2 linked regions of the Drosophila melanogaster genome follow. The gene in region 1 interacts genetically with each later gene. Each region holds a gene or a part of one and is shown in the gene's direction. Other genes may lie near its edges.

Region 1 (3,930 bases):
TGAATACTTTGGCAAAGTTTTGGCCGACAGCCAGCTAGCGAGTGAGACAGCTCAGGCAGCAATAACAAACAGCCAAAAAGTCGCCGAAATCCAAATTCCCCGCCACCCATTTCAGGACCAATACCCCCCACCCAGCCCCTTACACAATTTCGCCCCGCGGATCCTTTGCGCTGGCAATCTCGCACAGGCTCAGCGAGTTTTCAATTTACGCGCCTCGCGAGTCGTTTGTCATTTTATGCGTCCTAATATATGGCATGTGCGTGCCGCTACAAGGATACCAGCAGCAGTATCCTTCGCCACCGCCTGGTATCCCCCCATGCTCAATTTTGAGGGGATACCAACCAGCAAGGCGTAACTAATCAGCACAGGCAATGATATGGCGACATCTGATGAATTGTTCGCACAGCCGAAGATTTCAATTGGGGGTGTTGGCATATACATATGTATATATATCTAAATGAATGTGCACGCAGAGAAAATTAATGTATCACTTACTATCACGATCGAAAAGCACTCCATTAAGTCCAAATCTGATGCCAAAATTAAATAAGGTCAGTTACTTTAAAATGAAAAAAAAACCCCCAACGTTATCTTTCAGCCGACGGGGAAGAGAAAAAAAAAAACCCGGCCCTTGAATTCGTATCATTAAATTACTACTTCTCATTATTGCCTGATATTCACAGTTGGCTCTCGGGAGCCATTTATAACGATTGCGATTATTCCGATAGGGAAAATGAAATATTGAAAACAGATAGGACGGCCAGTCAGTATCCGCGTGGAAATTATAGTGTGTTTCACTTTGCGCTATAGATAGATATAGATAGACTCTCCCACTTGCATGGCCAACGCCATCAAAGAGTTTTCATTGTGGCCCCGGGGATTCCCAGACGAGTGCAATTACTTTTGTTAATTGTAATACACACAACCCCAACCAACCAACCAACGCAGAGACACCCGTTTATTTGTCTAATGTGCGAGAGTGTAAAGCTTCTGGCTCGATAATGTTTACCTGGGTGAATACCCCACCACCACCTGGAGCTGGAGCTGGTGCTGGGGGGGGGGGGGTTATAAAAGAAGGCCTGTGATTTTGCGTGTGATTTTTGCCCCCCCTCGAAATTTTTTACTGGGAGAGCGTGCCAAGGCGTAGTTAGTGAGCGGCACTTAATACCCTGATAAGATGTGCGATTAGCGGGCAGCCAGTCGAATGGTAAGTTATGAGCACAATGGTCAGCGCTTCCAGCTGCCAAAAGTCGAATGCGCAATGCTCTAACCGGGGATTTTCGATCGGTGATAATTCAATTGATTTTTATCGCATATTAATTGTATACCCGATTTATTTGGGGGATTTTTGTAGGACTTAATGCATTTTCTAAACAAACATCTCGTATTAATGAGTACAGATATATACGAAACATTTTTCGCTGTGTGTTTATCTGATTTGCACACCTGGGTCGTTAAAATATATTTATTAGCATTGTATATCCACCTGCTTGGGCCCATCAAATTGACGACCCCATGCACACGAAAATAATTGTTAAACGTATTTATTTTTCATTTAACCTGCGGATTTAAGAACTTCCAAGTGGTGGACCTCTCGAAGAAAGAAGAGCAACTCAAGATTACAAGACCTAATCAACGGTCCCCTTGTTGCCAACGAACATAGAAAACTGCCTCTAAGACTTCGGACTTCATTTCAGTTAGCGTCAAAGACATTGGCAAACAACATGGGCGACAAGGTGTCTGGATCCGTCTCCACTTCTGGCCCAACTTCCTTGGCAATCCTCATGGACTCGGAGCAATTGGAGCAGCAACAGCTGGCCACAAGTTGTGGTAAGTAGCGCCGCAACTATTTTGCTGCTGAAAACAATTCAACAATTTCCAAGAGCGTTTGAGAGAAATTTCCCCTTTTTGAAGTGTAATAAATATTCCAATGCTGGGCGAAGGGGGGGGGGCGGTGTGGTCTGCGTGTTTACCTTGCCACAAGTATAAACAGCAAATAAAATAAGACAAGTAGAGGTTGGAGGAGAAAATGAGTCCGGTGATTTGGACTTCCTTTGGACGAGGCGCCAGAACGCATCTGGCGGTTATCCCCCGAAATTTTCGACTCGAAAAACCTGTGTGCACACAAAGAAAAAAAAACTAATTCAGATTAAGAGCGAGATGAAGATGAAGATGGAATGTGCTTGTTCGCCATAAATCGACGACGGAAAATAAAACGCTGTTAATTTGTCTAGCCATCCGATCTCGGCACTCCGACTAAAGCAATTTAATACCAGCCGCATTTGCAGCGGGATTCCCCCAAAAAAATCAAAGCGATCCCACCAAGGGGCATCCCCGATTCGAAAATACAACAAAAACAAAAATTAAATCACACGAATACATATTATAAAAGAGTATGTCCGGTGCCGGTGGTCAAAGAAAGCAAATGACACAGAGAACGACGGGGGCAGTGATGCTGTCACAGCAACCAGCCATAAAAAATCACGGTTTTGAGTTTTGGAATCGTAAACAACTGAAATCGTGCGAAAAGAATATCAGCTTTTATAGGAATATAATTTAAATAAGATATCATGTATCCTTACGTGTAAAACAAAGTAAACCCAAACTATTGAAACGATTCAAGTTGGTTCTTATAAAGGATTCAGACTAAAAGAATAATCTTTCCACTATGAACATAAAAAATGAGAATACATTTCAAAAATGAATTCAATTAAAAATCTGTATCTAAGTTAATATAAAGATTTCATTGAAATGGTTAATTTACATTTTTAAATAAGGAATTTCGTACGAAGAAATGTCACATCTGCGAGCTGTCAACCTTTGTTTTAACTCTAGTCTGTGACTATGTATTTAGATGGCATCAGCCGAATTTCCTGACTGCAAAAAATATTCAACAATTCAACTGTCACCTCCAGCTATGGAAATTGTTCGTTCATTTATCAAAACACAAGAAGTAAAACCGCAGATGTGAGCTCAAAAACGCAATATTACCATTTAAAAAAGAGATGGTTAAAGCAACGGATGACTCATAGATTTCATTTTGGGCGAATAACAGTGACATTAATAAATCGCCACAGGGAGATTCAAAAATAACGTAAACTTAGCCATTGGCAAATGCTAAGTTCAGTTCGCAGCTGTCTGATTATTTGCACAACCAAAGTCTTGAGAATTGGTTAAAAAAAAAAAAGTTCCCCATAGCTGATTTATGCCCTCGATAGAGGGTTCTTATCAGCAGCGACCTTCGAGAATGACCGATATTGAACTAGTTGAATGAGTGTCATTCTGATCCGTATGATCAGCGATCCGTATCACGGTAATCTAATCGTCACTTGCCAAAACAGTTGGGATTGTTAATCACTCACGCTTGTCGGAAGTTGTTATTGCGGGGCGTGAGTCGTGCCCTATAGTCTATGCAACGTTTTCAGTGATTAACCCTAATTGGTTATCTAAGTGTTGGGCCAAAGTGTAGTCATTTCGTGCACGCGAAGAAAAGTAACGATTTTGAAATAGGTTCACACATGAACAGTGGAACAGTAATCACTCAATGCAAAATAATCAAAGCTAATTTCAAACAAGTTGGTTTAAGTGAAAACGTTTGGCTGAATAAAGCAAATATTGTCTGGTGCCAATATTTTCTTTCTCTGCACGCGTATCTGTCATTTGGAATGTCGATTCAGAGTGACACGTGTGATAGCCCTCGTAGCCGCAGCGCTTGAAAAAGAACCCTTCGGATTGGCAAAAAAAAAAAAGTACCGGCGATCGGAGGAGGTAAAATGCGGTTGAATGGGGCCAATAAATTCGCGGCGGCATGGGTAATTCACCGCAAACGAGGCGCTAGTTCGATCATCGTATTAAATTTCCCTAAGGGCGACATCGTGACCTTAGCGCAACTCGCCGCCTGATAACAGCTTTATCAAACTCGGCTGCGAC
Region 2 (3,930 bases), on another chromosome or scaffold:
CTAAAAGATACTTCGTAAGTGGAATATCCTAGCATGAAACTCTTTCAGCTCACCTGCTTTAGTATTAATAATGCCCGTTTGTGTTGTTTTATTTATTTACTAATGAAATCATTTCGGGTACAAGTTTCCTCAAAGCTCTAAATTAGTGATGGGTTGATTTTGTTTATAAACAATGGGAACAACGGTGAATGGCAAACAAACCACCTCCTCTTCACCTCCTCTTAGTGTTTTCATTTAGATAACACAAATATGAGTAAATATCTGATCTTTCTTGATCCAAAGCGTTGGAAACAGTTTTGATTATGAAGTTCCTCGAATCCTTCGGATACTTAGCAACGTTTTTGGATATCCAGTGCTCCTTGCCAATCACATTCTTTAATCGTCCCAGAATACCCTTGGAGTCAAAAGTGGGTCCGCTTATCATCCAGCCATTTATCTTATCAGCCGGACCGAACTCGTAGTAGTATCCGTTCTTCTTGATTTCTTTCGCCGCAAATCTTTCGACGGATCCTTCATCACAAACATTTGTCAAAGGCTTGCCGCCATTCAGTAAAATTTTCTGTAAGTGCTTCTCAAAATCAGACACAGAATACTCATTGCGTGTTTTTGTGCTTTCGAAATCTCCAGTGCTCTCAGTGCCAATAGTCAAAACATTCGAGTTGTTATTCATAATTGTTTATATTCCTACTACCGATTGGCGTTGGTGTTGTACACTAAAGTATGATTTCGTTATGGGAGCGCTTTTTATTTGCTTACTTATGAAATAAGCACCAATAAAAGCTCACGTCAATAGAGATGGGTTCTTTTTGTTTATAACAAACTGTGAATGGTTAGTAACATATGTTAGGGTGGTTCTTAAGAGTGTACTTAAAATCTAAATATATCTACTTCATTTAATTTCTTTTAAATAACGACTACATTAATTAATATAATGTCGCTTGACTCTGTTTCTATGTCCCTAAAAATTTGACTTCAAATTTTAGATGTTAAATAGATCACAAATTTTCACATTTACCTATTTGCTATTTTATATATTTACTTTACGAACTATTAGAGATGACATGATTTTGTTTATAAACGTTGTTTGTTTAAAAATCGGTGTGAATGGCAACGATTTCATTTTGGAGTGGACCTACCATTACAATACTAATTTAATCAATTAGCTGATTATACATTTCTAAATTTATACATTTTATAAACAATTTAAATAAAAAATAATTTAGATTTTTAACTGCATTGGCTATTTAAAATATTTGACATTAATAATAAATGCATTATCTTGTTATCTGACACATATGCAATATTAATGCTTTTAACACCCCATCAAAAGTATTAAAGTATCTGTCAGAACAAGTACATAACGTTCACTTATTTCGATCCAGAACATGAAACACAACAAAGCAACGCCTCGATCTTAATGAAAGATAAAACATCTGGCATCGGTGATTTTTTGGTCGGTGGGGCTTTAGTACCGGTATTAGACGCGTGCTAGATAGTGGCTGCAGGTGGTAACAGTTTTGATGGGTTATGGGTTGTGATCGAGGGGGTTTTTTCCTGGGCTCGCACAATTTCTCCATTTGTGTGCGCTGTAACTGCGCCGTGTCATATCTGATAATACACACGATTTGCCGTTATAACGCCTTCACACCGAACAAGGCTTCATACGATTATAGCTTTTCTTGAACTTTTGCTTTTGCTTGGCGAGCACACTTGAGATAGCTGCAAAAAAAGTCCCCGTTTACTGGCCCAAAACAGCGATCTGGCAAATAAATCATTTTATAATTTTCCGCAATAGATAATTGATTTGTCAACAGTGAATGCACCTTGAAAATAATAAAAAACGACCTTCTCGGCAATACACCCCTTTCATTTGTAGCCCCATAGCTGCGGTGCTTTCCCCGCACGAGTAAACATTATTGGGCCAACTGTTTAGATGCTAGCGTGTTTATTCAGCTGGCGATCTAGATACATATGTATGCTTGACTTGGCCGGGCTTTGCTCAGCTCCAGGCTTCCCAACCGACTGAGCTGGTCACTTGAACTGGCAACTCAGCTTGGAACGATCGCAGAAAATGACAAGATCGAGAATCGGAAGCTTTCGGGATATATATATAAGTAAACATATGTAAATTAAATCGAATGCCAATGAAGTCGATTGTGCAAATTACGGGTGAGATTTTTTTGTTTGTAAACAAACAGGCTCGTGAAGCATCTAGAGGAAATCATTGCCTCCGTTTCACAGATCTCACTTGGCAACTGCGTAAATATTTATCAATTTCTAGTGCTTAAAACTTTATCATCGGTTATCGTCGGTTATTACCCCTTTAGGTTGGGGTTGGTGGGTTTTTGACTCCGCGTTTACGACTCCCAAAAATGGAAATCAGCAACTATATCAGTGGACTTATTAATGATAAGAGAAGTTAACAAAAATCCCCATCAAAGTTGGGTCTGTACTGCATAAGTTGATAACAGTCTACACAGCGAAAAGTTACAATGCGTAAGTAAATAAATTCCACTTTGATGGGTCAAGACCCGAATAACACCCATTACTATTAGGGATAAGACTATAAGCACATCATTTTAGGAGAAACTATAAAACGATAAGATACAGTAATAATGTTTGAATTTACTGGTGCTGTTAACTAAATATATATTTAAACTTTATTACTATATGCTGAAGATTTGGCTAGCTCAAGTCGATGGACGAGCCCATTGCGAGGGCACCAACAGGTGGACATTACTCATGCCGAATAAATTCGGCGACCCAATCAAAGGTCTCCCCAGATGGCGAGATGCCTTTAAGTTCGCGACTCTCATGCATACGAGGTGATTTTCGTGCCGGCCCTCGGGCGAAATAAAAAAGCCCCGGCGCTAGACTCTCCGGCGGATATAAAAGCGGTTCCCGAGCGGCATTAGCGTTCAATAGCCAAAGTGCCAGCGAGCGAGCGAGCAGTAAGCACGGCGAAAGCGATACCAGAGATCGCCAAACTCAACGCACAATAAAAGTTCAGAAAACAGAGGGAGTTCCCCTGGCGGAAGCAGACGATCCCCCAGCGCTGAATTGAATACAAAAACAACACACACAATTGGATATCTTTGACCTTAGCCATCCGGATTGCTCATCATTCGGAGTCTTCCCCCAGCGACAGAGACGGAGATAGAGATAGGAAAAAGAGTTGGAGAATGAGCTAACCGACAGACTGGACGGTGATTTTTACGAGTGATTAGCAGCGGAAAGAAACGATACCGGCGGTAATTCACACCAAAATGGGCGTTCGTGTGATAGAAACCGATTCGGCGAGCGATTCGTATGACGATGACGAGTGCTCCACTTGCCAGAAAGAGCACGAGCAGGGTAAATCCCCCAATAAGAGCAAGAAAAGTTCCACGCCGCCGGAGACAACCATCTACGCCAGCAAGGATCTGGTGGGCAACTGCAAGGAGTACCGCATTGAGAACAACACGCGCGATCTCAGGATCATCGGCAATGGCAACCGCATACGGATTGTGAACAACTCCGGGCAACTGCAAGTAATCGGCAATAGCACCAGACTCAAGATCCAGAACAATAGCGGAGCCCTCAAGTACACGGGTAACGACGGAAGGATCTACCTGGGCAGCAGCTCCACGCAGCAGGTGGTCGACTACACGGGCTGCAATGGACTGCTCAAGGTGGTCAAGTCCCTGGATCTTAGCGGCGATGCCAAGAAAAGGCCCAGCTCTCGATCGAAAAACGCCAAGCCAACGCCAACGGATGCTGGCCAAGGCAAGTCCGGCGGCATTGAGATCGACAGCAATCTAACGATACGGCACGGAGCCGGGAACATTGTGATCAAGAATGCCATCAACGTGAGCATCTGAGAATCTTGAGCTCTCTAAGTCATCTTTGGCCAAAGATTAAGGATTAATGTAACGAAACTCTTGCCACCGA

What was found.
Region 2: of PGRP-LB (region 1) and pirk, changing one enhances a phenotype caused by changing the other (phenotypic enhancement), as found in Drosophila melanogaster (one study listed by BioGRID).

What each region holds. Positions count from the first base shown.
Region 1 is NT_033777.3:11,458,347-11,462,276, reverse strand, and holds the start of PGRP-LB (peptidoglycan recognition protein LB), read left to right. Parts: upstream 1-1,724; coding exon 1,725-1,830; intron 1,831-3,930. UniProt on the Drosophila melanogaster protein: N-acetylmuramyl-L-alanine amidase involved in innate immunity by degrading bacterial peptidoglycans (PGN). Probably plays a scavenger role by digesting biologically active PGN into biologically inactive fragments. Has no direct bacteriolytic activity.
Region 2 is NT_033778.4:21,661,254-21,665,183, reverse strand, and holds the start of pirk (poor Imd response upon knock-in), read left to right. Parts: upstream 1-2,188; 5' UTR 2,189-2,496; intron 2,497-2,679; 5' UTR 2,680-3,266; coding exon 3,267-3,860; 3' UTR 3,861-3,930. Other genes in the region: CG42362 (uncharacterized protein), read right to left, coding at 212-670.